Daphnia pulex: one gene and its partners. The protein of the gene in region 5 binds, or shares a complex with, the protein of the main gene of each other region. Links are inferred from orthologs where the notes say so. Each region holds a gene or a part of one and is shown on either strand. Other genes may lie near its edges.

Region 1 (4,049 bases), on a different chromosome or scaffold from region 5:
AACAAGTCGAACGCAGTTCCTCGGTTTGGCGGACGACAGTCGATGACCTTGACCGTAAAAGACCTCTTTTTTTCACCGTTTTAAATCGAAGGGGGGTTAACAAACGTCAATGACCCTTTTAATTGAGAAAAGAAAGGGTAAATCGACGCCCTTCTTCTTTTTTTACTACCTGTTGTATACGGGGACTTTTTTTAACGCTTGGAGGTAACTTTTAAAACATTTAAATTGCCGGCCTTCTGAATTTGGTAAAAGATTTGAAATGTCGTCGTCGTAATGGAAAATTACAGACTAGAAAGATCGTCTCTTGGGGTTATTCTACTACTAATACAACCTCGAATGGTTGTCCTTTTATAGGGCCAGTGGCTACATGGAGACCTTGAACGAAATGAAATCAATCTTTTTTTAAAAATAAACTACTATTTGGGAAAACAGCCAATCTATTCCAAGTTAAGCAACAAATTGTCGAGTAACCTTAACCCTATTTTTCCTAGAAATGGGAGCAAGACACTTGGTACAAATAAATTTCAGGTCAGGATAAATGTGTTTTGTAATAACATACGGTTGGAATTATGTCACAGCACTGTGTTAGTAGTACCATAGAGGAAGGAGTGAATGACGAAATCAAACCCAACACTCTATGGCAGTACGTAGTTGTTTTGGAATGAACAAATATCGTCGATGCTCGTAAATGCGTAAATATTTTTGTTCTAGAGTTTTATTTTGTCGTCTGCTTGACTCGTCCGATGCAGACATCTAGCGAGTGTCTGGTAGATTACACCGAAGGTTACGATTGGTCAATTTCGGAACCAGCCTACAAAAAAATCAAGGCCCCGGTCGTTCGATTTTATTAAATAAATATACTTGATTGTGTCACATGATTATGTCACTTCAATGGTCTACGTGCATCAGTATCAATATATAGTGACCTCAATTCTTTGATGAAGCCTTACAACTTTGTCAATATGATGCGAGCATCTCCATTGCGTGACGCTACAGGCAGTTACAAAATGAGCCCATGATATCATCTTCTCATCTTCGTGCTCCATTTCCTTTTAATTACGTACTCGGTTACATTTTAATCAAAGTCAAGTAGGCACTAGAGGCAACCGCGGCTGTGGCCTGGCGGCATCAGCGTCAGGCAGGATGAAATCAAATCAGTTGCAGTTGCCTAGTAACATAATTGAATTTTTCCTTCAGACAATTTAATTAAAACGACGAAACATCGCCTTCGCCTAGCGAATTAATTAGATATTTTAATTACACGAAAATTATGCAGAAGCTACGCGTAGTTATAATACCACCGCAGAATGCACGGCAGTTGTCTGATTTGATTTTTCAATGTTCGTCTGCTTGCGTCTCCCCACCTTTTTTGTTGTTTCCATAAAGACATCTTCTGAGCGAAAAGGAAATCCTTGATATTAACGTATTCGTGTGTCATTATGTCGGAAACCAAGCCTGGTGTGTCTTTTGCCTTTAGTTCAAAAAAGAAACATGATAACGTGAAATTAACTCAGTCGAAACTATTGGATACGACTCAAGAAACTCGCGAAGAGACTGATTTCGTCAAAACTGTCGAGCACAACAAAATCAATGGGTATGTTGCTTTTCCCGCCACAAAATATTAATTTTACATTCATTTTCTGCATTATTCTATTTAGATCCATCAAAAAAGCACCCAAAAAGGAACTGGTTATTCCTCTTATAACAAAGAATCGGTGGAGGACCCCTGGCAGTGATACCAAAACCGAGAACACAGAAGCATCAGACTTGGACAAGCAAGCCGAAAAAGAAATCCTGCAAGAAACACTGAAGGCTGTTGATGGCTGGGAGAACAGAGGCAATGGCGTACCCTCCAACATTGATATCCCCCTATTTATGCAAAATCGTGTTCCATCTGGCTTTGAAACAGATGAAAAAGTAGATGTTTCCCTCCGTGCAGATCAGGTACTGAATTTCGCAACTGCACCTTAATTATGTAATTAACTCTTGACATTTCTCTCTAGTCCACACTTGATGATTATGAAGCGATCCCAGTGGAAGCCTATGGAATGGCCATGTTGAGAGGAATGGGTTGGAAAGCCTCAGAGGGTATCGGTCTCTCTAGAAAAGGGTATCATTGCCATATTTCACATTAATTAATGGTTCTGAATTCTCATCAAATTATCTTTTATTCAATCAAGAGTGGCTGCTCCCATGGAGGTGAAACTTAGGCCTAAAGGACTTGGTCTTGGGGCTGACCGTACTGTTTTAGAAAATGCAGCTAAAGCTTTAACAAAGCCAAAAGAAGGCGAAGAAGAGCTCAAAGTGATTATCGGTGCAAATGTACAGTTGCTCAGCGGGAAACATCAAGGTTTATATGGACAAGTAAGTAAAAATTCTATTAAAATCTGCCATTAAATTATAACTAAATTTGTTTCATCAGGTTCTTAGCATGGACGCAAACACTGGTCGTGCTCTGGTGCGGATGGCTGTCGGAAGCAACGAATTGGAAATGAGCGAGCTCTTTCTGAAACCAGTTTCTGCTAAAGAATATCGTGATTCCGCCAGGATTCTGAGTAAATTAAATCTATTTCAAGCCAAATTTCTTCTTGAAATTAATCATCTTTCTTTTAATTCTCAGACAAGGAAAAATACGACGAGTACAAAACGAAACAGGACAAGGAGCGAAACGAGAAGGAAAGAAATGATCGCGAGAGCAGAAAGAAACGGAAGCATAGTCCTAGCCATCGTAAGTAGTGATAGATTGTCCTGTCTAGCTCCTCCTACCCAAGGTCACGCTTTCCTACATTTATCATTGGCGTTCTCGTGCCAGCCGCCCAGCCCGTACCGTCAGAATTTCCCGTTGTTAATTAATCAGTTTGTAATGAAATTCCACTATAATAATTTTTTCCTTTTATTTTAAAAAAGGTAGTCGTCGGAGTGGCAGTCGGGAGCGCCGTGATGAGAAGAAAGAATCTCGTTCTAAAAATCGGTCGTCGAAAGGTTCTGACGAGAAACGAGAACCTTGGCTTCACCCACTCTTGCGAGTCCGCTGCGTCGATTCTTCATTCAAGGACGGCCAATTCTACAAACAGAAAGTAAATAAAAATGTCCTAAAAATAAAAGATGAATTTCTCTCACGCCGATTGGTATGAATTCCAGATGGTTGTGGTGGACGTGATTTCCAAGAATCATTGCATTTGCAAAGCCGAAAACGGGAAACTTTTGGAAAACGTCAACATTTCTAAATTGGAAACTGTCATTCCGCGTAGCGATCCCGCTTACGTCATGGTCGTCAAGGGCAAACGAAAAGGACAGGTTGTTAGCTGAAATTTACACACATGTTGTTTTTGTTAACTTGTTTATTTTTTAATAAAAAGGTCTGCCAAGTGATTGAAAGGGACAAGGAACGATACACGGCCACCGTCCAGATTCTACCGGATCGCGATGAAGTTTTCCAACTAGACTACGACGACATTTGCGAATACACGGGAGATGTGCGCAACTTGTAATCACAAAATAACTCGACTTGGTTTTTAAATAAAAACAAATGTGCTATTCGTGTTTAATTTCATAACGATTTTCACCCTTTTTGTCTTCATTGTTGCACCTCTCACATAATTTGCTACGTGACCCAGACAGCTGTGGCAATCTCTCATTATGCAAATGTTTGCCGAAAGCTCTCTCTCTTATCATTTTAATGATACGTTACGCTAATGCAAATTTTTCAAGTGGAAAAAGAGATGAGAAAGTACAAGGCGCGCCAGTCAGTCTGGCAAGAACTTTGTGTGTTTTCAATGGGATTTATTAAAGTATACACCGGCATCGTAAAAATACACGAGCTATAGGGGGAATACGGTAATGGTACACACCTTTCACGTGCGTGTTCCCCTTTATTTTTGCATCGATATTTTTCGGTACAGAGTACACTGAACCCACACAGCGTAGCTCAATCAATTCACGAGAAAAGCGTATAGGCTACCACCCTACGGGGGACAGTGGGGGGGCTTTTTTTCGCTCGGTCATTTCTCATGACTCCCGCCGAAGTCCGAACGAACGAACGAACGATG
Region 2 (4,080 bases), on a different chromosome or scaffold from region 5:
CATTGCTTTTGGGTAGTTCCTCTTCCTGGTTTGATGGAGCGGATTCTTTTGCCATTTTCCAAGCTTTGGCCATAGCCAAGAGCTTAAGATTGGGTTTAGTAGCTTCATCCTCGGGGAAAATGTAGTCGAAATACTCTTCCCAACCAGCATCGGTCTAAAAAAAAAAAGAAAAGAAAAAAACATTGCAACGCACAAAATTTTGCATCTAAACGCAAAATATTATCACATACCCCATCTTGTGTTTGGATCCGCCTCCTCTTCTTCACACGTCTAGGCATCAAGTTAACAACCGCATTGCGAGATCCCTCATCTCCATATTCATATTCGAATTCTTGCCAAGCCTCCAACAACATCAATCGCTCCTCTTTGTTGGTAGCCACTTCAAGACCGACTGACTGAGCTATAGAACGTAGCGACCTAGTAACATAATGGGGAATTAAGAAGGTAATTTACGGAGGCTAATAGTTCAAAGCAAAGAAATGCGAACTTGTTTGCACGCTGGAAGACTGCTCTAGCTGCTGCGACTGGCAAACTTGGGTCCTCCTGCTGAGATGCTGCTAGAGTGAGCTCAAATTGAGCAAAACTCATCCAGACTTTTACGTGCTGCGTGCGTTCTAGAAGTCTCTCATATAACGATCGGGCTTTATCATTCTCCTCTTGTTCGATTTCAAAATCGATGTAAGCCTGAAGAACAAACACAACTCCATTAGGAATGAGATCTGTGCACATATTTAAAGTTTAATTTACCTTCCAAAGAATTTCTGGCATATCTAGTAGAGGCTGCTTGATGGCAAGCTCGTAAATGCCGCGAGCACGATCCACATCTCCCAGTAAAGTTTCTAGTTCGGCGAATTTCATCCAAGTGGTGCAATTTTCTGGACCGTTTTGGAGGAACTTTTCATACAATGTCCTGCAGCGGTCAAATTCTCTCAGCTGGATCTCCAAATCAATATATCCACGGAACAACTTGTTCTATAAATAACCAGATTTATTAAAAACTGGTTCATAGACTGGCCTCTAATTAGATTTCATATTTGAAAGAAAAAATACTGAAACATATTTACCTTTGGACATTTACCAATCGCAGTACCTAAAATTTTACGCGCCAATTGCAGATTTTTCTGTCGAACTTCGAAATGGGCGTAAAGGAGCCACATTTTGGCGAATGTGAAGTTACGATGCGGAATGAGCTTAAGACATGAATCGTAGACCTGTCGAGTTTTTTCATAATCTTCGGCTTCCAGTTCTTCGAAAAGTGCATAGTTAATCCACAGATAGATGTAACGACGCCAAAAGGACTTCTCAGCTACTAGCGGGATGTTGGCAATAGCTCTTTCGTATGTATCTCGCACTACTTCAACGTCAGCGTCACCTAAAGATACAATACACATTCGACACAATTCCTTAAAAATTTGATAGTAAGTCAAAATACCTTCACTTTCCATTAGGCGTAAATAATCAAACCATGCATCATAATTTGATGGATTTTCTTTAATTTCTTGTTCATACTGAAATTTTCTTTTACTGACAATAACGTCTTCTATAGCGTCACGCTCTCCAAATTTTTTCTGGTGAATTGTGTAGGCTTTGTACAATTCTGCTGCTTTATCTTTTGACATGTGTTCGAGAGCAAATTTGTAAATAGCAGTTGCTCGTTCATGTTCTTTTTGGCCCTCTTCAAACTTGGAAAAGGCTATGAAAAGCCTTTCGTCCATGTGATCATCACCATAAAAATCCACCGACCGTTCATACACCTGGCGGGCACCGATAATGTAACCGTTCCTTTCTTCAAACTTGGCATACTTGATCCAATTTTTTACTTCCGGGTGCACATAGACAAACCGTTCAAAAATTGAGCGAGCACGATCTAATTCTTTATACCTAGTTATTGGACAAAAATTGGACGTTGATAAGTGTAACGTTAGTATTTACTACATTTATTTACCTTAATTCAAAATTGATGTATGTTTGCCAAGCTTGTTCATCTGGCTGCCATTCCATCCACCTTTCAAATACTTGACGACAACCAGCTATATTGGCCAGCATTTCCTCCATGTAGGTATATTTATACCAAAACTGATTTGCTCTAGGCAAAATTGTAACTGCACGGTCCCACAAGTTTCTGGCATGATTGACTTGCTTATTTTTCATTTCCATTTCTGAATACTAAATTTTTTTAAAATTAGATATTTATTATTTCACAGATTTAACAAATGAAAATTAATTACCTTCAGCCAAAGGGTAATGTTACGATGGTCTACATCAAGAGCACGCTCAAAAACACTTCTGGCTCTTTGAATTTCTTTTTGGCTTTCTTCCCATTGAGCATACTTGATCCAGTTGGTAATAACATTACGATTACGCCGCAGAGCATCTTCAAAGGTTTTGCGTTTCTTGTACTGGTAGTCTGCTAACTCATCGGGATCTGAAATTTTTTGTTTAGGGGGCTAAAAATAGAAAATTTCTTACTTCAGTTCTTCAAGTTGTTATCTATTGCCGAAACACTTACTGGTGGAACAATTTCAAGATCACGTTCCTTAGCTTCCCGAAGCAACTGCTCAGCAGTGATTTGAATTTCTGCCGGTGTTTTGTTTTTAACCTAAAGAGAAATGTGTTATAAGTAATGTCAAGAGCATTCTTACATTTAAGTATTACAACCTTGGCAACTTTAGGAGGTTTTTGTGGTTTACCGAATCCACCCGAATCCATTTTAGATTACTTTTTAAATGAGCACTTGTAAAAAAAATAAAATAAGGTTTTAACAGATATGAGTCTATGACTGACACTTGGTACTGTAGTATTGAACTGACACGAGCAAGTGATGCTTCTTGCAGATTGCAGTTGCGCGAGCGCGACTCGTACGAACCGAACAGACGACGAATCGGACGTTGCCAGATTGATTGTTTACCAGCTTTCAACAGGTTTTTTGAAAGATTTTAACCGGATTTAGCACTTTTCAGGTTTCAGTTTTACAGGAATACTGGAATACACTCTATTTATTCTATAGTTTCAAGACATAAATATTGCAAATATCTGATAAGTGATAATGGCAAATTTTGTTTATTTTTCAGTAAATATCAAACAGCATAACAAGTTCCATTGCAATTCATTCTCCCGTATTCGCAACCCATCGACCAAATTATAATCATCGTTTAATATCGTTATTCTATGGACTGAAGTCCGACTATTTCACATCAATTTTTTTGTTTTATTTTCATGCTGAAAGTTCAGGCGGGCAATCTGGTTGTCGGCTCGGGTGAGCCTTTACGAAAGGCTCAAGAACTTCGAGATTCTTTTCCACACGAGCAATATTAGGAAACTGTGCCACGTCCACATCAAACCTTATTCAGACGAAGCGTGAGAAAAAGAGAACATGAAACGAATCATGGAAACTTTAGTCTTTACCTCCTTGCATTGTACAGTTGTGGGATAAGGCAACAATCAGCCATTGTAACATCATCTCCAACACAGTAATTTCCACTGGAAGTTTCTAATATTTTTTCTAATGCTGTAATAAAAAATTGGGTTTTTATATAAACTTTGCACATATTTCTTAGAGTTTATTAATTTTTTTATTGATATATTCATGAAGATCTTCACCTACCAGTGAGTCCTTTGAAAATCCACTTAGCAGCCCAATCTTTCTGTTTAGATTCTTCAAATTGTTTAAGTACAGCCAAATTCTGTAAGGGTTGAATCCCAGAACCAATAATTTCACATATTTCTCTCACTTTGAATCTAATCACACCATCTTTTGGCAATAAGGGTTTTAAAGGATAAGATTCTTCTAAATATTCCAAAATAGCTACCTAAATGTACAGGAGATGGAAGTAAAAATTATGCATTGAAATTTGAACTGGAAGGTCTTATATATCTATAGTGTCATATTCATATAGTGTCCCTCTTACCGACTGAGTGAAAACTTTGTCCCCAATTGTTAGTGATGGAACTTGAGCCATGGGGTTTATGATTTTATAGTCATCAGCATTCTAAATACATAGAAAAATATGCCAGCGGTATTTTAGCTATTTATATGGGTTTAACTGTGAACATTGTGATGATTTAATAATTTTAAAATTT
Region 3 (2,277 bases), on a different chromosome or scaffold from region 5:
TCTCGAAATATATCGTATAACGCCTTACAAGTAATATTTTTTGTTTGTTATTGCTTAGCATGGACTTAGCCAACAAGTAAAAAGTACTGCAAATTTTCTGGAATTAGTATATATATGTAAACAGCATGTTTAATTCTAATGCTAAATTGCATAGAACGACATCATTCGCTGTGTTTATTGATTATTGAGCTCATAAAAAAAACAATTCTCAGTCTAAGTTTAATTGTTCAAAGGAGATTAACCTTTGGTCCTTAACCTTTTAAGCATTACCTCTGACAAAATAAGGGATGGAGTTCAGAGTATAATTTACATATCCATCCATTAGCCATGCCATAAGATAATTTACAAAGAAAATTTACTGGTAATATTCTGCATATACTTGAGGTATGAAAAATTTACAAATTTTAATACCAAAAATTAATATAGTACCACTCAAGATAATTACAGTGATTGTAAGGTCTCAAACTTCACATGAGTAAAGCACTAGAGTACGAAAAGAGTTTCAAGCATCTTAATTTCATATATTCCATTCAATGTCACATTCACTTAAAGATTAGGAGACATAGACAAGATTGTAACACAACATAACACAACAGATTATCAAGTGGAAGATTGTTTGTAGCTTTTTGTGTCAATAATTTTCTTTCCACACATCGAACAGATTCCTTTTTTATAAGCACAAGGTTGACCTGTAAATTCCAAATTACAGTAATTTTGTTAGACTCAATTCAGCTTCTTTTCTTATAAATTCTTTGGTACTTACAATAATACGATCCATTTTGATGAACTTTCTGTTTACATATTCTGCAGCCTTCAAATTTCGGTGTATATGGGTTGAAACGATTTTTTGTAGAAGTAAGAGCTTTGTTTTCATTGAGCTTGCGACCACCACCTTCTGTGGTATTTCGAGCTCCTGATTTCCATGGGTCTGGAGTTATAACTTTACCCAGTTTTTTCTCACATTTATCGCACACCATCTTTCTACAGGCTTTAACTGCGTTTTTAGTTTAGTCAATCAACAAAAAAACTTCAAAGCTAGATTCGAGTCGACTAGTCGAAGCTTTGTTTTTGCAAACTACCACCTAGCGATCATAAGGCAAACTTCAGTTAGTTCACATAGACAAGCAGAGATGGCTTTAACCTTTTCTAAGACTGGGATGGTTAAATCTATTGCCACGACATCATGTCGTGGCAATACGGTCGAAACTGTCTATTGCCACGACATCTGTCGTGGCACTATCACTGTCGTCGTCACTAGAACGCCCACCCGACACTAGAACGTCCATATTTTAGAAACGAAACTAGAACGGAAAAACTATTGCGACATTAGAACGGCTATAATAAAACCTGCGGTGGAGTTTAATTCTTTACCGCTAGATGTAGGAGATGTATCCGTTTAGGTTGCGCGAATTTTGAAACAAATTAACGCTTTTAATCTTGTCAAAATAACGCAGTCTCCAATTCCCCCATAAAAAAAAAACTGGGCAAAAAACCGAAACCTGAATCTGGGCAAACAAACATGATGGCACATTATTATAGGTATCAAAGAAAAATAAAGAGAGTTGACTTGAAGGCTACCACATCGGTAGCCCGTCACGGAATTTTATTTGTGCGTGGGCTATAAAATTGATTTTCCATGATTTTCATGAGATGGCTCTTCGGGGTGTAATAGATCAAATCAGAGGAGCTATATCCGTGGATACGAAATATATTATATACAGTACCCTCACAAAGTTTGGAAACACGGCGAGTGTTTCCGCGCTTCTAACACGGCGGCTTACGGGCCAATGTGTCTCCCTTTTTTCGCGATAACTCACGTTTGAGTTATCGCAAAGCAAATTTTAAAAAATCTTCTTGGTGAGGAAAGAATTTTCTTTCACCATGATTTTTTTCAGATTTTAGTAAATTGAACTTTATCCCCAAAGTGCTAGACATAAAGTTTGGAAACATCGGCGCGCTCGCCATATGTTTCCAAGCTAAAGTGTATGCTAGTTAAAAAATCATAAAAAATTGAAATTAATAAATTTTTACTTGAAACTTTTACCAACGGTAGACGACATAGTCGTCTACATTTGGACAAAGTTTCAAATTTTTCTAATGAAACTCTGATTTGTCCCGATTTTTTAAAAAACAATTCCGATTTATTTTGGTGGCGCAGGGACGAAATCCTAGCCCGGGGGAAGAATAGAAGAGGGAAAACCGCCGGACCCCTTTGTTCTCCCCTATTCTCTTCCCTCTATTTTTCTATTTTAAAAAATCGAGAAAAATCAGAGTTTC
Region 4 (4,044 bases), on a different chromosome or scaffold from region 5:
GGCACGCTGCTTTTATCCCCGGTTATTTCGTGACCGTTCGTGACCAATCCCGTTTATATTGATCCCACGAAAAATTTTGGAGAATTTTCCTTTACATAACAATTCCTTTACGCGTGCAGACTACTTTGGCTACAATTGACACACAAGTTTATGTTCCAGCAAGCCTAAGTGACATTTGTTTCTGATTTTCAAGCTCGTTGAATCAAAGAGAAATTGGTGAGATTAACAAACAAAGGTGAGTTTTATATGTGCATTTCAAAACTGGAGATCATTTTTAGTTTTTAGTTGAATTTCCTCTCTTTCATGATCTTCTTTGATTCCTCTCTTCTTCGTTTGTTTAAGGGGTTACGGGGATCGTAGATTTCAAACCAATCATCACTTTTTGTATTAGCATCTCGGGCTAACGAAGGATTTTTGTCTTCGAATTTCAACGTGTGATTCAACCTAGAAAGAAATAAAGAAATTCTGCAATTTTCAAATTTATAGGGATAAAAAATTATTTCTCACCATGCATCATCATCGTTTACGTCATCAATATCATCAACGCCTCCTTTCGTTGTCCGAGTTTGGCTAAGCTTACTCTGAAATTTTTTAAGGAAATTAAGGGTTTCAGCTTCTCGGTCCGTGCCTATTCCAAATAGAATATTAAAACTTGTTGATGATATGATGAGGTAACAAATATTTTAAACAATTGATCTATTTACCCTTTCCTCGCCGTGTTGTTTTTATGTCCGCATACTTCTTCTGCTGCTCATGAAAATCTTTAAGTATTTCATTATCTTCTTCACTGTCGCTAATTTTTCTTTTCTTAGATAATTCTTGATCTTGAGGAGTTTCACTTGGGTTTTTCATTTCCCTTTTCAAGTCTCTTATCTGTTCTTTGATTTGCTTTCTAAAAGTAAAGCATTTACTTATGAGCATAACTATCAAGTAATTGTTATGACTTGTTTGTTTCTTACAGTTTGTTGTTTGCTTCAGATTTCTTTTGGTTCGAAATGTCAACATCTACACTTTCAGGTGATACTTCTGGTTGCAAATCAGTTTGAGGCACAACCTTTTCAAATTGCCGTTCAATTTTTGTCGGTTTGTCGCTGAAAATATGACATGGAAATTTTACATATGAATGTAGACCATACACAGTCTTTGAAAATGATCTGACGGCTTGTTCTATTAAACGTACTTATTTGTTAACCCCGTTTCTACGTTGACTGCAGGAACAATGCTAAGTTTAGGGTCGTTAGTCAGTTCATGAGAAGATTTCCCACGAAAAGACTTAGTTGGCTGATGAACATCTGTTTCATCTTCTTCTTCGTCCCCAAAGGAAAGCAGCTGAAGATTCCTACAGAATCAAACACAAGCTCTTATAGCAGTTATAACAATATTACATAGCTGGACTTAATACTTTTTTTTATTTATTTTAGATTTTATTTCCTCTGGTTTCTTGATATTTTCTTGGCTAATCCTTGGTTCAATGTCAGGGAATGGATTAGAAATAACTTCTGTTTTAAAAATTTTAGGTGGATGACGAGGTCTATCTTCCTATAGCGTTTATGATTTTATTGATTTTATTATTTTATTATTTGAGTTTCAAAATTTAAATATACTTACACTATCAATATCCAAGTCATTAAATTTGATCTATGAGAAAGAGAAAAAATTGTACATTAGAATTTCTTGAATAATTTGTTCCCAGCGTAATTAACAAATTGTCAGTTACCATGTTGAACAAAGTATTCCCAGCAACCCTACCAAAAATTGTGTGCTTATTTTGCAGTTCCGGACAAGAACCCAAGGTAAAAAAAAACTGTGATTCATTGTCATTGTTTCCAGTGTTAGCCGTTGCAACCAATCCTTAAAAAGATGTTTGAAATGGTACATTATGTAATAAAAACACAGAAGATGTTTGCTTTACCTCTTCTGACAAATCGTAGACGTGAATGAACTTCGTTCTGAATACCAAAAGATTGTAAAAGGTTAATAAAGACTGAAATAATGAATTCTATTCAAATGAATACTATGTAACCTTGAATGGTTCCCCATAAATACTTTCACCACCATGGCCAGTCCCTAAGAAAAAGGGGTGGTAATTGTTTCAATCAAATATAAATAACAACAGATCACATTATTAAGTTTTACCAGAAGGATCTCCTCCTTGAGCAATAAAATTTGGTACCACTCGGTGAAAAATTGTTCCATTGAAAAATCCTTCAAGGCATAGTTGAACAAAATTTCTGCAAGCCTTTGGACATTCTTTGCTCCACAGTTCTATTTCAATTTCTCCTAGAGAAGTAGTCACAACAACCTAAACAAAAGTTACGTTTTAGCACGTAGTTCAATCAATGATACATGAAAAGAATACAAACTTTTCCATTTGTTGGTGGTTCTTGAACGTATATGTTACTCATTGTTGTAAATCGAGGAGAAAAAGGAAGAAAATCAAAATGAAACTAATTAAAATTCCGTGTTTTGATGTGTATAATGTGCAGAGGTAATGTGTAGCTCGACAAAGCTAGTAGTAGTAGCAATCTAGCATCTATGTCAGTTCTATGTCTAGTTCGGAGTTGTTGGCTGCTAGTTCGAGCGAACTGTGTTTGGTTTTTTTTTAAACAAACAAACCATTTTATCCTTTCGACTCACAGCGCTACTGGTGGCAGACGATTGCAACGCACTGTAAATAAGAGTTGCCTGATACTATGCTGGCCATACTCATACATTTATCGCTCTTGAATTCTGAGTTTCTGACGGAAAAATTCACTTATCTTCAGTCTTATTCGATAACTATCGTTGTATCGTATGGATTTAGTAAAAATAGATTTCCTTATAGGACACACATAGAACTAAGCTCGTGATTTACTGATTTGGAATTTCAAAAAATCTCTCCCAACTATTTCTTTATCACTCATGAAATAATTAGTTAATAAATTCATTTTAATTATTTTTCTCTTAAAATTTGGGATCAGGATTTCAACTGTGATGTCCCAAAACTGAAATCTGCATTTCTGTAAAAAATTAAAAATCTGCTGGATAGCTCCATACCCTTAATTTGATCTAGAAACCCTTTTTCCTCATCTTCCTATTCCTACCGCTATAATATCTCAATTGCGTTTTGTTTTAGGTATAGAAACTGAAAAATCTAAAGTGTGAGGAAAGCCTTTGTATCTTGTTTTCTACTGTGCTAAGAGTATTTTTATTACAATAAATATATTTTAAACATTAGATTTAAAAACTTAAACTTTACCGCGATCAACCTGACAAATTTTCTTTTATGAAATCTGGAATTTTTTTTTTTAATAACCCGACCTACTTTTAGTAGGCAAAGACGAAAATTCAGTTTCTTTTTTGGAAAGTTGTGTATTTTAGCTGAAGGTTATTAATTGACTAAGGAATAGGACAAACCAAGTCATGGATGAAGCTATGACCACAATGTACCAAACAATAAAAGTATGGCCTGCTTTCTCCAAATTCTATTTTCTCCCAATTTGGTAAACGAATCTGCTGCTGCGATACTTATTATTAGCATGTAATTAGCAAGCAACTTTACGGAGGCTTCAGAACAACAACCGCAACAAAATCGAATAGCAAGAGGAAACGCAAGTACCGTGTGAACGTGATGAGGATGAAGCCGGATGAAACGCCTATCGGACGATGACGCGACATGACACACTGAACGTATGGCAGGCTGACAAATTTTAGACTTTTTCACCTATTTTGGGGTTTTTCCGTAACAATCATTGTAAACCTTAAACAAATATATCTGAGACAACCGCGCATACAAATGGGGAGTTTCAGAGGAATTTGCATAATTTTAAATACATCTGAATGGTATTGTTAGTGTTTAAGCGTAATTGATGTGTAAACGGTTGTGAATAGAAAGTATTAGGGCGCATAGTTTGCGTGGCTGCTTCTCCATGGTTGATGAATCTTCGTAAACAGCCATGCAGCGTATAACGTTAGTTTAATAGCGACGTGACCTGGATTTCTTCGGTAAACCATTGGAAATTGCGGAACCTAGGAGAAAGTGAGGAGAGAGCAGAACAAATGAAA
Region 5 (4,136 bases):
CGACGACGTTCCGCCGACCGGTGTCGAACGGGTGACTTCCTCACGGGCGAACGGCGTGGTGAAGGACGCCGAGGAGAATGATTACGAACAGGTGAACGCCTGGGAGATCTTCGAACGGGCGACCTGCGGACCGGTGACCGACGAACAGGAGATCTGCGGGCTGGGGACCTTCGAACTGGAGATCTCCTAGCGGGAGAGCGGCGAACGGGTGATCGTCTAGCTGGCGAGCGACGAGCGGGAGATCTGCGTGCAGGAGAACGGCGAGCTGGGGAGCGACGAACAGGTGATCGACGTGGAGATCGACGAGGCGAGCGCCTTGCTGGCGATCTGGCAGGTGAGCGACGACGAGGCGGTGGCGACGCCTTGCCTCGATTAGGAGAACGACGCTCCAATGAAGGACGTCGGCCGTCACGACGAGGTGAAGAGCGGGGATTGTCTCCTTCCTTCTTGATCACCCTGTCCTTGTTGGGGCTACGGCTTCTATCTTTGGAAGCTCGTTTGTCAGTACGGTCGTTGCGTTCCTTTTCTCGGTCAGCGCGCCGATCCCGGTCGGCCTTTTTGATTGCTTCCTGGATTCGATCTTGTTCTTCCTGCAAACCAATAAAGACGAAAATGATAGAAACAAAACTAATACCGCGAATTATTTCCGATGGTTGCATACCTTTCTTAATTTGATTTCTTCCTTCTTCTGTGCCATAAAGACCTCCGGAATTCCAGCAGACGATTCTTGGGCAGATAGTAGAAGATCCCACAATTCAGTCATCAGAATCCTGGCATTCTTGCCGTTGAGGAATCCAGTTAAATTGATTTGCATGCGACGAGGGTCAGGGTTCTATAGGTTTTAAGAAAAAAAAAAGACAAATAACAGAAAAATCAAACAACCGAAATGGAAAAGAGATACTTAAGTAAACGGACACAAATAGATTAGGTTTCGGTATGATCTCGGCGGATTAAGCGAGCAATACCTTTCAGGGGTTTGCTCTTTAAAAGGATAAGCTGTTTTACGTAGTTTGTTTTGGTTTGTTATTCTTGCCTGAGAGCTCGACCAGAGTGACAACAGAAAAAAATCTCTTATTTCTTTTTTTCCAATCTGGGCGTTGAGGGAGAACCGAGTTTCCCATCCGTCATAAAAACACCGGCGACTCGGTATCAAAGAGACGACCACGAAGCGAGCGGCACAGGAGTTGTCCTGTCGACTGTACCGCCCAGCTATTGGGTCGTCATCTGACTAGTCCTACTCCTGATGGCTACCCCGGCACCACGATGCGATCGATCAGGTGATTTTTAAAGATGGGATGGTCTGTCGTCATCTATCAGGCAAATCTAGCAGCTTCGACCACGTTAGCGAACGGCACAGGAGTCTTATCTCTGTCGACTGTACCGTCCTGCTTTTTGGGCCGAGACGAAAGGATCTCTTCTTCTCAGCTTCTCAACACGGATTCCTGAGTAGGCCTACTGCGATCAGAGCCCGACTTAACCACACAGGAGTTTTCCCTGTTGTCGACTGTGCGGTTAACTATCAACTGGGGGAGAAGGCGTTGCATTGGCTGGGCGAAAGGCGATCCCAGAATTGCCTCTCATGACTCGATGGTTTAGAACGTGCCGTATTCCATCATTTCGCAGGAGTGAATCCTTCATCGGTCGACTGCGAAACGTTGGAAATCCAAATCCATAGACATCGTGGCCGACGATAAGAGGAATCGTCCACGGAACAGGCCGAAAGGTGAATCAATTCGAAGAGAAGACCTCGAAATAATGCGACCAGGTCTCGGTCGAGAAAGAATCCTTGCATCCATCATGTCAAGGTGGTGTGTGTGACATGGTGACAACAAGGCTTTGATGCAATTCCACATTAAGTCTTCATAACACAGGACCCAAAAGTGTACAAGATATTGAGATGAGCATGAGCACAGACAAAATATAATCAAAGCCATCTGGGTGGTGAAAACTTAAATCATAACTTATCTTTCACATTAAACCAAATTACAAACAAGAACCAGATGCAAAGGAGCTGACGTTCAATCATTCTTAGTATGTGATGGCTATTTCAGCCTGATATTAAAAAAATTGCATAAGATAAACAGCAGAATGATTGGTGAAAAGCTTTGGTGGCAAATGTTTCCCATAAGATAAATCTACACGGCTGAGATTAAAAGGATATTACCTTGTCAGCTTCGAGCTGATTAAAAACATATTCCACCAGGACGTCATCTTCAATTCCTCCCATAAGTTCTGTAATTTTGGTTGTGATCCATGGTTTGATGGTTTCCAACTTAACTTTGCTCATATCCACCTGAATTTTTTAACATGCATTAATGAATATTAACATGTAACTCATATTGATGTTGTTAAAGTTGCACAGGTGATCAATAATTTACCTTTCTAGTCACATTTTCAGCAAATTTGATAGTCTTCAAAAGCTTCTTCTCTTTGTCACTAAATCTATTGTCTTGCTCAGTTGAGGTGCCCTGTTGAAAGAATTCAAATATTACAATGCATCCCATCAGTTAACAAAACAGATTTCACAACTGATGAAGCAAGAATTTTACGACCGAGTTGGCGTGTCGAGATGCTGCAAACAATTCAAGGGAATAATAGTTCTAACTTGGGTAATTATTAACACTTACTCTGAAGAAACCGGCATCAGTCATTGTGAAAGAAAAATACCTCAAATCGAGGTAATTCTATAAAAGTAAAAATAAATGGGAGAATAAAGCCGGGCTAAACTCAAGTCTTAAATGGAGGACCCCTAACTCAATTGATCGCCTTCCCTCTTGTCCCTTCAGTCAGGAAAATGGAAACAGCATTGCCAGTTTAGAAAAATAAATCGACTGCTGCATATGCATAGCGCCAGCTCCTGCCAGCGCTTCTGAAAGAAAAAAAGGACAAAACATATCAAATATGGGTTACGCTACGCATAACTAATTTTCTTCGATGACAAAATCAATTGGACGAATAACGGGAAAATGCCAATCTAAGGTTTCCTCTCAATTTATCGACGCGAAATAATGTATCCCGAAATCATGGCGCGTCCAACCGGTTAATTTGACTATAAGAAAAATGTCGTTTTTTCAGTTGAAGCCAAAATTGCAAGGAACCTGTTTTGTCATTTGATCCTGCGAGTAGGTAGCAAACGGTCACTGCTTATTAAGTAGACTTGAGCTCCTTGAACTCTCTTTGCCTTTATAAAATAACTGTACGACCGGTGCAACTTTGTCCCCAAAGGCTTTTTTTTTTTAAGTGTAATAAGATAACCATCAAAAAGTATAAATCAACCACAGACAGAAATGGTTGAAAAGAAGAAAAAAAAATGAATTAAGAAAATAAAAGGCTTTCTTGTTGGTTGACTGACTACATCCCTTTTAGCTTGAGCTGGCATGCGCGCACCTTTTACGTGACCGCTAGGCTATAAGACGCGGCGGTGTGCACAGGTAAAAAGCGTCTCTTCCTTCCCAAACAAAAAAAACTCCAATCCTCAAGAAAAGGGAAGAAATAAATTAGCAGCAGCAGCAGCAGCAGCGAAAGAAGAAGAAGAAGAGCCCAAAGGTATATAATAATAAAGGTGCATATAGAGGGAAAGAATGTGAATGAAGGAAGAAGAAGAAGAAGAAGGTAAGAAAAAGAGCCCCTGGAGCATAAAGGCAACAAACTGTATTTGAGAAAACCTGGTTGGATGGAATTGGTTAGAGGGGGGATTGGGAGGTAAAGTTGTTGCTTCTTCTTCTTCTTCTTCTTCTTCCCATCTACCAGCAGAGACTGTTTTTCAAGGTGTGCAGTGCCAGTGGGTATTGGCGGAGGCCATGGAACAGAAGCAGAAACCAGGCCTTCTTCCAGGCTGACTCTTTCTGCTGCTGTGTCAATTCTCATTCTCACCTGACGACTGAACATACAACAATCGACATTGCCCTGCTAATTGTGTCAAACAAATTAAACTAATCAAGTGCATTTTACCAATCGATTTCGAGTTAATAGTGCGTGTGTTAGTGTGTGTTGAGTGTCTGGTGCACACCTGAGTCATGGCTTTCTTGTGTCCAGTGAGGATACGCCGAGGCAAGAAGAAAAAAGGTAACAAACTTGTCCAATTTTTCCAGACGTATACCAGGTTGAAAAAAAAGTGTTCAGCAGACGGACTAGAT
Region 6 (4,263 bases), on a different chromosome or scaffold from region 5:
AGTTCGTCTCTACATAATTGAAACGTCCCATCCAACGCAACACAAAATTATTAATTAATCTTAAAGAATCTATCAACGAGATAGAAAAACTTACGTCAACCCTCCTAGACCGATGGAAGTAAAGAAATTAATGGCAAATCGAGTGTTGCGAGGATCATCGCGAGGGAAAACTCCTTCAAAATACGGTTGCAAAGTCCTAAAACGAAAATATTAAAAAAATTAAATTGGTGACGTATAACCAAACAAGATGTTTAAAAAATAGTTGGTGCACTGACGGGTCTTTGAGGCGAAGATTTAGCTTGCTGAGACCCATGTACTCTGCCATTTCTTGAAATAAAATTTTAAGAAATATTCTCGAAGAGCTTGTAGTATCTTCTTCAGTTAGTCGAATGTTAGCCATCACTTGCCAACTGATGGCATCTGTGAAAAGTAAATGGGCAAACATTTTGGCTACATTGCGAAGCTTGTTAGTATCCAGCCGATGAATTGTGTCGTATGTATCATGAAATATTTGCTCGAATGGTGGTATGTATGCCTTATTAATCTGGCAAAATCTCTAATACACCGAAAAGAAAATTGATATACTTGAATAGTTTTTTATTTAATAAGAAATCGTACCTGGGCTAAAAGGCCGAAAAATTTTTCATACGTCCTTTGTTGGGTGCAGCAATCCAAGATCATATGGCATAACTCAGTTTCTTGTCCAGGTTTCATTTGCATTTTCATCATTTTATGGGCACATTCATTGTGATCTAAACTGCTCTGAATAGTAAGGTAAATAACGCGTCGAAGAGCAATAAGGTTTGTCTCCGTCTCGTCAACAATATCGCCTTGTTCTAAAAAAACAAAATTAAAAACATACAAATTGAATCGACCCAAGTAAAAGTATATGCTATTCTTACCTTTTGCTTCCTCCTCCGAAGCACTATCTCCATCAGATTCATCATTTTCTTCTCCAGAACCGTCTGATTCGCCCGAATTATCTCCAATAATTTCTGTTTTGACAGCTTGGTACTTTTCTTCGTTGGCTTCATAATCCGGGTCGTGCTTGAAAACATCTACAAAAATACGCGAAACAGTTAGTGGTATCAAAGTGGAGATAGACATATAAAATCTACTATTAACAGTTTAAGAAAAGCACGGAACTTGGGGCTCATTACAGTCAAAGATTATTTTAAAAATAAATAAAAATTTAAGCCCAGTAAACTAACTTGGTAGATTGAGGAATACAGATATTTTTTAAATCCATTAATAGCAACTTATTACTCAACATATCCTGGGGATCCAATTCTTCTTCTTGTATCGACATCAAATGAGTGAATTGATCTTCTTCTTCCACCAAATCCAAATCTTCCACGATAGCAGGGTTGTCCTTAAAGCCATCCTTTCGTACTTGAAACATTACTTCAATCATGTACTTCACGCGTTTGTCTAAGTCAGCTTCGTGTAAAACATGACGGAGGCGATCGAAGACAGCAGTTAATCCTCGAGGGGAGACTTCACCTAACTTTTGACCACATTCTTTCAAAAATCCAACCGCGACTTCAACTGAATCATCAGTTGCATTTTCTAACAGAAGAGTTAAAATTTCTAGAGCCAAAAGCTCATGTGCCTAAAATACCAAGAAAAATTTTCAGTGCATTTGAAAAACAAAACATGAGAGCAAAATTTCAATATTACCACTTGTTGGTTCACCAGATGTGCTATGAATCTTGTCGAACTCATACATATTTGTTTGTCATTTCGACGAAACCCACGGCGAAATTGAAGAATAAGGCGAGATAATAGCAGTTCACCTATGTTAGGAAACTGAAACATCAACAAATGTGATGTGAATTAAATTAAATACATGAATTAATATAAATCACGTTTATACTTTGGAATTGATTAATGCAGCAAGGGCTGCATAGACATGTGTAAATGTTGGTGATGCAGCTTGTGCCTGAATGATGGACCTAGTTAGAAGACCACGTCCCCTAACAATATTTTCTTTGAACAAGGATGTTATAATCAATGGGATATTTGACACATTGACTTTATTGATTAATCCATGAATGGATTTTTTGAGAGCCTCCCAAGATAAACGCTGAAAAGCTAAGCTTGACTTGTCAGTTATTTGGGCTTGCATCATTCTTAACTTGGCAGGAGGAATGTAAGCTCCTCCGGTTCGTGTCAGCACTGGATCCATTTCTTTAACTCTCTTAGGCTCTTTAGTATCCTCTTCATTTAAAGGACCTTGTTCACTAGTTTTTCTGTCATCCTTTTTCAATTGATTTTCTCTTTTTCTTGAATGTTGATCTTGTTCTCTTGAATGTTGTGTGTAGTTATCTCTAGGGCCTTCATCTCCCCAATAGCGTGTGCCTATTTCATAGTTTTTTTTCCTGATAAAAAAATGAATATGAAGTAAATTAATTTGTTACTTGTAACACTTTTGGTACAGTTGTCTACCTTTCTCTTCTGTATTCCTCCTCTGAACTATACCGTCGTTTCCGAATATTGCTATCGGGCTTTGCTGGAGCTTTTTCGTCTCGTTCATCTTCCAAATCATCGTCGACTTCTTCTAAGAAATTTACGGGTAAACCAACAGCTTTGACGACACTTTCCATCTGAAGGATTATTGTGACAGATGAAGGGAAATTAATTTGAAAATATCACTTAACAGATGTTATACTGTTTGGATGAATAGAAAATTGCAATCGCAACACGCTGAGAAACAACTGCTTTTTTACGTTTGCTTCCTTGGCTTAATGCCTATTGCCATATTGCGGTATTGCCGTTTGCTTACAATTCTACCACTAATGCGCCACCTGCGTTTGGGCAGCTTGTTCGATTTCATTGGTTGTCGGCTTGTCGCCTTATGCCTTATCGGGTTTATCGCAAAGGCAGGCAAAGAGACAAACGTGACAAAAAATAAGAATTAAGAATCTTCTTGTAATCAACCACTTCCTCATTAATGAAAATTTGTTTAAAATTTATTGGAAAAGGAATAATTGAATAAATATTCTGCCCCGAGCAGCGAGCAACCATCAAATACTTTTTGGACTTTTTCGATAACTTGTTTAAATTGTTTATCAGCTTTGTGGCAGCGTTAAGCGCTGAGCCTTCTCAGGTCTTCGTATTTCGTGTAGAATTTTTAAAATAGTTACTGGTGAAATCAGAGTTATAAAGGATCGTTAAAAGAATAATTATTTCAATTTTTGAAATATTTTCGCATGTTTTCGCTAGTCCTGCGAGTTCCTAGTTTTAAAATAGGTATTACTAACCGCTATGAAACAATAAAAACAGGCAGCCACGAAGATTTGTTAAAGAGATTTCATACTTTCAATTGAAATTATGTGGTAAAAAATCATTAAGCATTTTTTCTAAAAGTCGAATCCGTCTGAAACCACTGTTTAGAGGAATGAATGAGCTGGCAACATGTCAAAGATGTCAGCGCCCACGGTTTAATAGGGAGGGCGCATTTGACAAGGGGCCTGCCTACCGCTAACATTTGTTTGCCACTCCTCCATGCAGTTTATCCTATGTGTATAGAAGAATTTCAAAAAGCTCCGCGAAGGAGTTCGTGCCTCTTGTGATCGTAGTAAGATAACAAAAAAACAAAAAAAAAAATGCGCAGAGTGCTTGGGATACACTCATCGTGCATCGTGATATGTTCTAATTTTGTATTTGTTTCCTCTTCAGATAAACAATAAAAATTTTAAAACGCCGGAGAGAAGACGTCATGGACGTCGAAGACGAAAATATCAGCACGTTAATGGCCATGGGATTTCCGGACATCGGAGAAATCAAACGAGCTTTACGTTTAGCCAAGAATGATCTAAATGAAGCAGTTGCTATCCTCACCAATGATCAGTCAGTGTCATCTTATGGACCTGTTGCTGACTTAAACATCGATGTTGACATGAAAGAGGTAGCTGGTGTTTCCAAAGGATCCAGCGAAGATGCTTCCGTGTCTGAAGTAAAGCCTATTTCATCTATTATGTCAATGTAAAGCATTTTTCAACACTTACATTTTTATCTCTTAGAGTGGAAATGATGGCTTCCCTGAAACCCACCTGTATGAATTAGAGTCTAGAGTATTTACAGATCAATGGTCTATTCCTTATAAAAAGGATGAAAGTTTGCATAAATGCTTAGCAGCTGCGACAAAACTAATAGAAGAAGGTGGGTTATATCTTGTGAATTTTGTGTTTTTCTATTACACACATTAATTTTTAATCCAATTAAGGTGTTTGGGAGAATGATGAAAACATGCAGAGGTTT
Region 7 (3,971 bases), on a different chromosome or scaffold from region 5:
CGTTCGAGATAGCTGGCTGATTGTACCCTCAAGGGTAAATCTTTCAGCGCTTTCGCTAACTAGAAAACAAATCACCAAAAGACATTGATTATTGAACGCGTAATTTAACAAATTATTATTTATCATAAATGTGGTTTGCTTACCGGTTTGTCATCCATCGTGTGTCGTTTTGGCAGACGAGAGGACAATGCTGCGTTGCCGTCGCATATAAAAAAAAGTCAGTAAAATTGTGAACCCTTCCTTCCCCTTTTTCGATTTTTATTTTTAATTGCTACAGAATTATTGAGTAAAAAAAATGACATACAATTTGATAAGAACAAGTGTTCGAGAAAGAGTTTATTTTTAAAAAATCAGCCACAAGTAAGCAAAGAATAATCCAATATCCGGGAAGGTCACCAATTACTGAAATTACCAAATGAATAGTTAGCAGATGTTTTAGCTTTTTTATGTTGAGAACTGCCGGATTCTTCTCCAGCCGAATCAGCTGGTCTATAAAAAAAAATAATAATAAGCTGCAATGAAACTATTTTATTTAATAGAAAATTAAAGATATACTTGTTGGTGAAAGCTTTAGGGTTGATGTATTTTCCTACACCAGATTGTTTGAAAACCTTAAGCTGGGCTTTAGGGATGGAAGCCTTTGCTTCCTTCAACTGTCTCTCAGCTTCTTCTAGCGCTGCGGCTCTCTCAATCACCAACTAAAATGTAAAAACAAAAGTAAATTTTGCTTCTAAGGTTGAATTGATTTTCTCGGCAACCTTTTCGTCTACTTCGGCATATGGGTCTGTAAATATCTGTGACGACTCAATAATAATCTCTTCTACGGGTCGATCTTTATTGTCAGTACCAATTCGTTCCATAGCGCTCAAAGTTTCCATTCCACCCACGACACGACCGAATATTGTGTGCTTTCCGTCCAGATGTTTACACGAGCGATAGGTGATAAAACTGAAAGAGTAATAATCAAATTGATGCGTAATGTATGCATAGAACTAGATAATTTAAACGTACAACTGAGATTTATTAGTGTTGGTTCCCGAGTTCGCCATCGATAAAATACCCCGACCGGTGTGGGATAGATTCGGCTTAAATTCATCTTCAAATGATCCTCCCCAGCAAGACTCTCCTCCGGTACCAGTTCCAGTGGGATCGCCACCTTGAATCTGGAAAATTTTTGTTAGGAAATCTCTGTAACAGCCCGTGATCACGTTGAGATCTACAGTACCATGAAATGCTTGATAGACCGATGAAACTTGGTGTTGTTGTAGTAGCCTTTTTTGCACAGGTTGACGAAATTTTCACACGTTTTAGGTACCATTTCACAATGTAACTCTAAATTAAGAGGCCCGACATTTGTAACTAGTCTAACATAACCTAAGAAATTAAATTGATGAAATAAAAACAAATTTAGATGGTTTGTGAAGAATTCATTACAAGAAACTACTTTAACCTTTTTTCTTAATGCGCTGATATCGAACGATACTTTCATCGAGAATTGCTGGTTCATGCTTAGTTTCTGGTGCCATCACCGTAGAAGTAAAACCAGCAGCGACAGCCCCGGTGGAATAATGAGCCTGATAGTTTTTTTTTGTTTTATAAACAAGTTATAAAAACGAAAATAATAATAAATAAAAGGGATAAATTTAAAACTTTAACTGAATCAAATTACCGCATTAATGGAATCAGCTACTGCTTTTACAGTTACAGTCTCTTCAGGTGCCTTGTATTCCTGTTCTAATTCTGCCAAAACTCCCTTCGTTTCTGCATTGATGTATTTGAGACGGGCTGCAGGATCGGTTTTGGCCCTTATTAATTCTAGTAGAGAGAATCATATTTATGAAAGCAAATCAATTGGCGTTGTTAAGTCTATAATCAATAAGACAACAAATTACCTTCATTTTCGATTTTTTGGTCATGCGTTACATGATAAAATTTAGCGATGTTAAACTTTTCTAGGTGAGATGGGTCTTGAAGAGTGATAATGTCTTGACGAGCAAATGTTTCATCTGTTAACAACTCTTTCCAGTTTTTGGGCTTCAGATTGAGTTGCTCTACTGCCTCATAGGAGAACACATTTCCAGTAGTTCTGATGGCCACAATGTGGGATTTGTCTGTGAACTGCTTGAACAATACAGGGCAATGGTATGCCCCTTCAGCATTTTTATGATAATTTAACCTCAGAAGGGCTTTGCTTTCCAATGGCTAGAAAAATTAAATTCTCATAAACATGCCTTTCTAGTTCAAGTTTATCGGATGAAGCAAACATGCAATACCCATAAGCAAAACTTACTTTTCCTGTTACTGGATTAGTTTTATACTTTTTCAAGTATGGAACTATAGCAAGAAGGTCGAAAACATTTCCTTCAGTGTCACACAAAGGATTCTCAAAAAGCTGAAGTGACAAGGCACAGTGATCATATGGAAGTCGTCGAAATGAAGCACTGGCACTATTTGGATTAACAGGCTTCTTCCCACCATACAATGTGCTCCACTCTGTACTTGTCAAGTACCTAAATATAAGATAGTAAACTAGTTAGTGTTTTCATACTAAACATATCATTCAAATTGAAATATCTTAGAACTTGCATTTTATCTTTCTGGTGTTGTCGTTTTCCCATTTTCAGATAGTTTTCACGCTTTGATGAAGAAAAACAGTATCAAAGTTCTCTGTGAAATACACAAATTAAAATCGAGCAAACTTTTTTCAGTTTATGGAATAGAACGCCAAACGACTAATAAACCGACTTGTTGTTTTGGCACACTGTCTTGAACGTCGTCTGCTTACCCTTCAAGCTTCAACCGCTCGACTTAAACTTTTAAACTTTTTGTCTTTTTATAACGATTATTGAATTGTTCTACCATTTAAAAAAAAATTTTATGTACGAAAAATAACATCCAACGATCACATCATCAAGAATTTCATTGGCCAAATTAAATGATGAAATATTGGTCGTTGGACGTTCAGCCACTAGGGGGCCAGGATCGACCTTCATAAAAGCCTCAAAATGATTCGAGATAAGATAATTAAGAGGAACCATTCAAAGAAGACGGCTAAGCCTAAGCGATATGAAAGTCAACAATGCATAATAATTGCTAGACTCCACTATAGACTAGGCAGCTGACAGCAAACAAAAGATTAAGTGAATAAATTGGTTCTATGGAAATTTCCCTTTCTGTGTATTTTCACACTCGCATTAAACTCGATGGGTGGGTCGACAGTTAATTTTTTTGTTCTAGCTTTCGCTCGTTTCATTCGCGTTTTTTTTAATTAAACCACCCTCAGATCGAATATTTTAGGTAAAAAAAAAGAATGATTCGAAAGACAAAGAAAAAAAAATAGAAATAATTAATGTGGTAGCATAACAAATTTAAGGAGATTTTGTTTAAAATTGATCTTCTTCCTTGTTCGTTTCCTTATAGTTTGCGTCTCTTGTGTTGAGACCTAAACGAAAATTAACAGAGCGTCCTCGTCGCACGAACAAGTCGAGCTGGAAACCTCGTGAGATTCATCCGGACGTCTGAGCCATTTGCCATGGCACTCGACGTTGGTCAGCGATGTCCAGCGTGTAATTCTACCCGGCACTCCGTGACCACCGCAACGGCCTCCCAAATAGTCACGAGTAGCCTTGTGTTCACATCGAACACAGACGACGCCGCCTAAACCACGAAAAGGAATAAAATAAAATAAATGTATCAAAACACAATTTTTGAAAAATGATATTTCCATCCGGATATTATTATTCCGGAAGTCAATTACCGTCAGTAAGAGAGTTGAACACTTTCTCTTTGTGGCAGGCCTTGGACACTTTGGTCAGCTCGAATGTCACGCAGTAACTGAATAAAGACGGAAGTGTTATTGCAACATGTATGCGCCAATTTTCAACGTCCAATTGAAGAGCAATCATTGGTGTCGAAAATTTCTTAAATTTTGTGGCTTGATTGTTTATAGGTATGTATCCTCACTCGTTGGT

Evidence for each region.
Region 1: serine/arginine repetitive matrix protein 1-like (region 5) and G-patch domain and KOW motifs-containing protein-like share a complex: the UniProt entries of both Homo sapiens proteins name them as parts of the minor spliceosome. The link is inferred for Daphnia pulex from reciprocal best matches to the Homo sapiens genes SRRM1 and GPKOW.
Region 2: serine/arginine repetitive matrix protein 1-like (region 5) and crooked neck-like protein 1 share a complex: the UniProt entries of both Homo sapiens proteins name them as parts of the minor spliceosome. The link is inferred for Daphnia pulex from reciprocal best matches to the Homo sapiens genes SRRM1 and CRNKL1.
Region 3: serine/arginine repetitive matrix protein 1-like (region 5) and cysteine-rich PDZ-binding protein-like share a complex: the UniProt entries of both Homo sapiens proteins name them as parts of the minor spliceosome. The link is inferred for Daphnia pulex from reciprocal best matches to the Homo sapiens genes SRRM1 and CRIPT.
Region 4: serine/arginine repetitive matrix protein 1-like (region 5) and spliceosome-associated protein CWC27 homolog share a complex: the UniProt entries of both Homo sapiens proteins name them as parts of the minor spliceosome. The link is inferred for Daphnia pulex from reciprocal best matches to the Homo sapiens genes SRRM1 and CWC27.
Region 6: serine/arginine repetitive matrix protein 1-like (region 5) and pre-mRNA-splicing factor CWC22 homolog share a complex: the UniProt entries of both Homo sapiens proteins name them as parts of the minor spliceosome. The link is inferred for Daphnia pulex from reciprocal best matches to the Homo sapiens genes SRRM1 and CWC22.
Region 7: serine/arginine repetitive matrix protein 1-like (region 5) and RING-type E3 ubiquitin-protein ligase PPIL2-like share a complex: the UniProt entries of both Homo sapiens proteins name them as parts of the minor spliceosome. The link is inferred for Daphnia pulex from reciprocal best matches to the Homo sapiens genes SRRM1 and PPIL2.

The regions. Positions count from the first base shown.
Region 1 is NC_060019.1:137,331-141,379, reverse strand, and holds G-patch domain and KOW motifs-containing protein-like, read left to right. Parts: upstream 1-1,342; 5' UTR 1,343-1,439; coding exon 1,440-1,594; intron 1,595-1,658; coding exon 1,659-1,944; intron 1,945-2,003; coding exon 2,004-2,110; intron 2,111-2,180; coding exon 2,181-2,364; intron 2,365-2,422; coding exon 2,423-2,555; intron 2,556-2,620; coding exon 2,621-2,728; intron 2,729-2,907; coding exon 2,908-3,077; intron 3,078-3,141; coding exon 3,142-3,297; intron 3,298-3,359; coding exon 3,360-3,491; 3' UTR 3,492-3,549; downstream 3,550-4,049. UniProt on the Homo sapiens protein: RNA-binding protein involved in pre-mRNA splicing. As a component of the minor spliceosome, involved in the splicing of U12-type introns in pre-mRNAs.
Region 2 is NC_060026.1:11,199,262-11,203,341, forward strand, and holds the start of crooked neck-like protein 1, read right to left. Parts: upstream 2,801-4,080; 5' UTR 2,710-2,800; coding exon 2,659-2,709; exon of another isoform or gene 2,656-2,658; intron 2,600-2,655; coding exon 2,510-2,599; intron 2,448-2,509; coding exon 2,229-2,447; intron 2,167-2,228; coding exon 1,946-2,166; intron 1,882-1,945; coding exon 1,433-1,881; intron 1,373-1,432; coding exon 1,065-1,372; intron 973-1,064; coding exon 748-972; intron 685-747; coding exon 488-684; intron 418-487; coding exon 231-417; intron 155-230; coding exon 1-154. Other genes in the region: probable maleylacetoacetate isomerase 2, read right to left, coding at 3,215-3,341, 3,406-3,508, 3,605-3,809, 3,909-3,989. UniProt on the Homo sapiens protein: Involved in pre-mRNA splicing process. As a component of the minor spliceosome, involved in the splicing of U12-type introns in pre-mRNAs.
Region 3 is NC_060021.1:4,590,447-4,592,723, reverse strand, and holds cysteine-rich PDZ-binding protein-like, read right to left. Parts: upstream 1,098-2,277; 5' UTR 978-1,097; coding exon 764-977; intron 690-763; coding exon 601-689; 3' UTR 501-600; downstream 1-500. UniProt on the Homo sapiens protein: As a component of the minor spliceosome, involved in the splicing of U12-type introns in pre-mRNAs. Involved in the cytoskeletal anchoring of DLG4 in excitatory synapses.
Region 4 is NC_060020.1:8,996,305-9,000,348, reverse strand, and holds spliceosome-associated protein CWC27 homolog, read right to left. Parts: upstream 2,801-4,044; 5' UTR 2,406-2,800; coding exon 2,364-2,405; intron 2,303-2,363; coding exon 2,137-2,302; intron 2,068-2,136; coding exon 2,024-2,067; intron 1,950-2,023; coding exon 1,913-1,949; intron 1,852-1,912; coding exon 1,718-1,851; intron 1,639-1,717; coding exon 1,609-1,638; intron 1,540-1,608; coding exon 1,403-1,539; intron 1,340-1,402; coding exon 1,181-1,339; intron 1,092-1,180; coding exon 960-1,091; intron 893-959; coding exon 705-892; intron 629-704; coding exon 508-628; intron 445-507; coding exon 282-444; 3' UTR 237-281; downstream 1-236. UniProt on the Homo sapiens protein: As part of the spliceosome, plays a role in pre-mRNA splicing. Probable inactive PPIase with no peptidyl-prolyl cis-trans isomerase activity. As a component of the minor spliceosome, involved in the splicing of U12-type introns in pre-mRNAs.
Region 5 is NC_060027.1:2,460,148-2,464,283, reverse strand, and holds the start of serine/arginine repetitive matrix protein 1-like, read right to left. Parts: upstream 2,801-4,136; 5' UTR 2,652-2,800; coding exon 2,628-2,651; intron 2,469-2,627; coding exon 2,379-2,468; intron 2,294-2,378; coding exon 2,165-2,293; intron 1,852-2,164; exon of another isoform or gene 1,034-1,851; intron 833-1,033; coding exon 662-832; intron 591-661; coding exon 1-590. Other genes in the region: SH3 domain-containing protein Dlish-like, read left to right, coding at 4,017-4,065. UniProt on the Homo sapiens protein: Part of pre- and post-splicing multiprotein mRNP complexes. As a component of the minor spliceosome, involved in the splicing of U12-type introns in pre-mRNAs. Involved in numerous pre-mRNA processing events.
Region 6 is NC_060018.1:7,249,251-7,253,513, reverse strand, and holds the start of pre-mRNA-splicing factor CWC22 homolog, read right to left. Parts: upstream 2,801-4,263; 5' UTR 2,672-2,800; exon of another isoform or gene 2,607-2,671; coding exon 2,449-2,606; intron 2,382-2,448; coding exon 1,877-2,381; intron 1,810-1,876; coding exon 1,681-1,809; intron 1,613-1,680; coding exon 1,267-1,612; intron 1,059-1,266; coding exon 619-1,058; intron 557-618; coding exon 276-556; intron 197-275; coding exon 95-196; intron 10-94; coding exon 1-9. Other genes in the region: ubiquitin carboxyl-terminal hydrolase 24-like, read left to right, coding at 3,722-3,958, 4,026-4,164, 4,229-4,263. UniProt on the Homo sapiens protein: Required for pre-mRNA splicing as component of the spliceosome. As a component of the minor spliceosome, involved in the splicing of U12-type introns in pre-mRNAs. Promotes exon-junction complex (EJC) assembly.
Region 7 is NC_060022.1:781,819-785,789, reverse strand, and holds RING-type E3 ubiquitin-protein ligase PPIL2-like, read right to left. Parts: upstream 2,801-3,971; 5' UTR 2,619-2,800; coding exon 2,587-2,618; intron 2,511-2,586; coding exon 2,291-2,510; intron 2,203-2,290; coding exon 1,893-2,202; intron 1,816-1,892; coding exon 1,670-1,815; intron 1,575-1,669; coding exon 1,451-1,574; intron 1,375-1,450; coding exon 1,226-1,374; intron 1,164-1,225; coding exon 1,012-1,163; intron 949-1,011; coding exon 759-948; intron 699-758; coding exon 556-698; intron 490-555; coding exon 393-489; 3' UTR 322-392; downstream 1-321. Other genes in the region: eIF-2-alpha kinase activator GCN1-like, read right to left, coding at 1-59, 144-158; somatomedin-B and thrombospondin type-1 domain-containing protein-like, read right to left, coding at 3,443-3,657, 3,758-3,834, 3,964-3,971. UniProt on the Homo sapiens protein: Has a ubiquitin-protein ligase activity acting as an E3 ubiquitin protein ligase or as an ubiquitin-ubiquitin ligase promoting elongation of ubiquitin chains on substrates.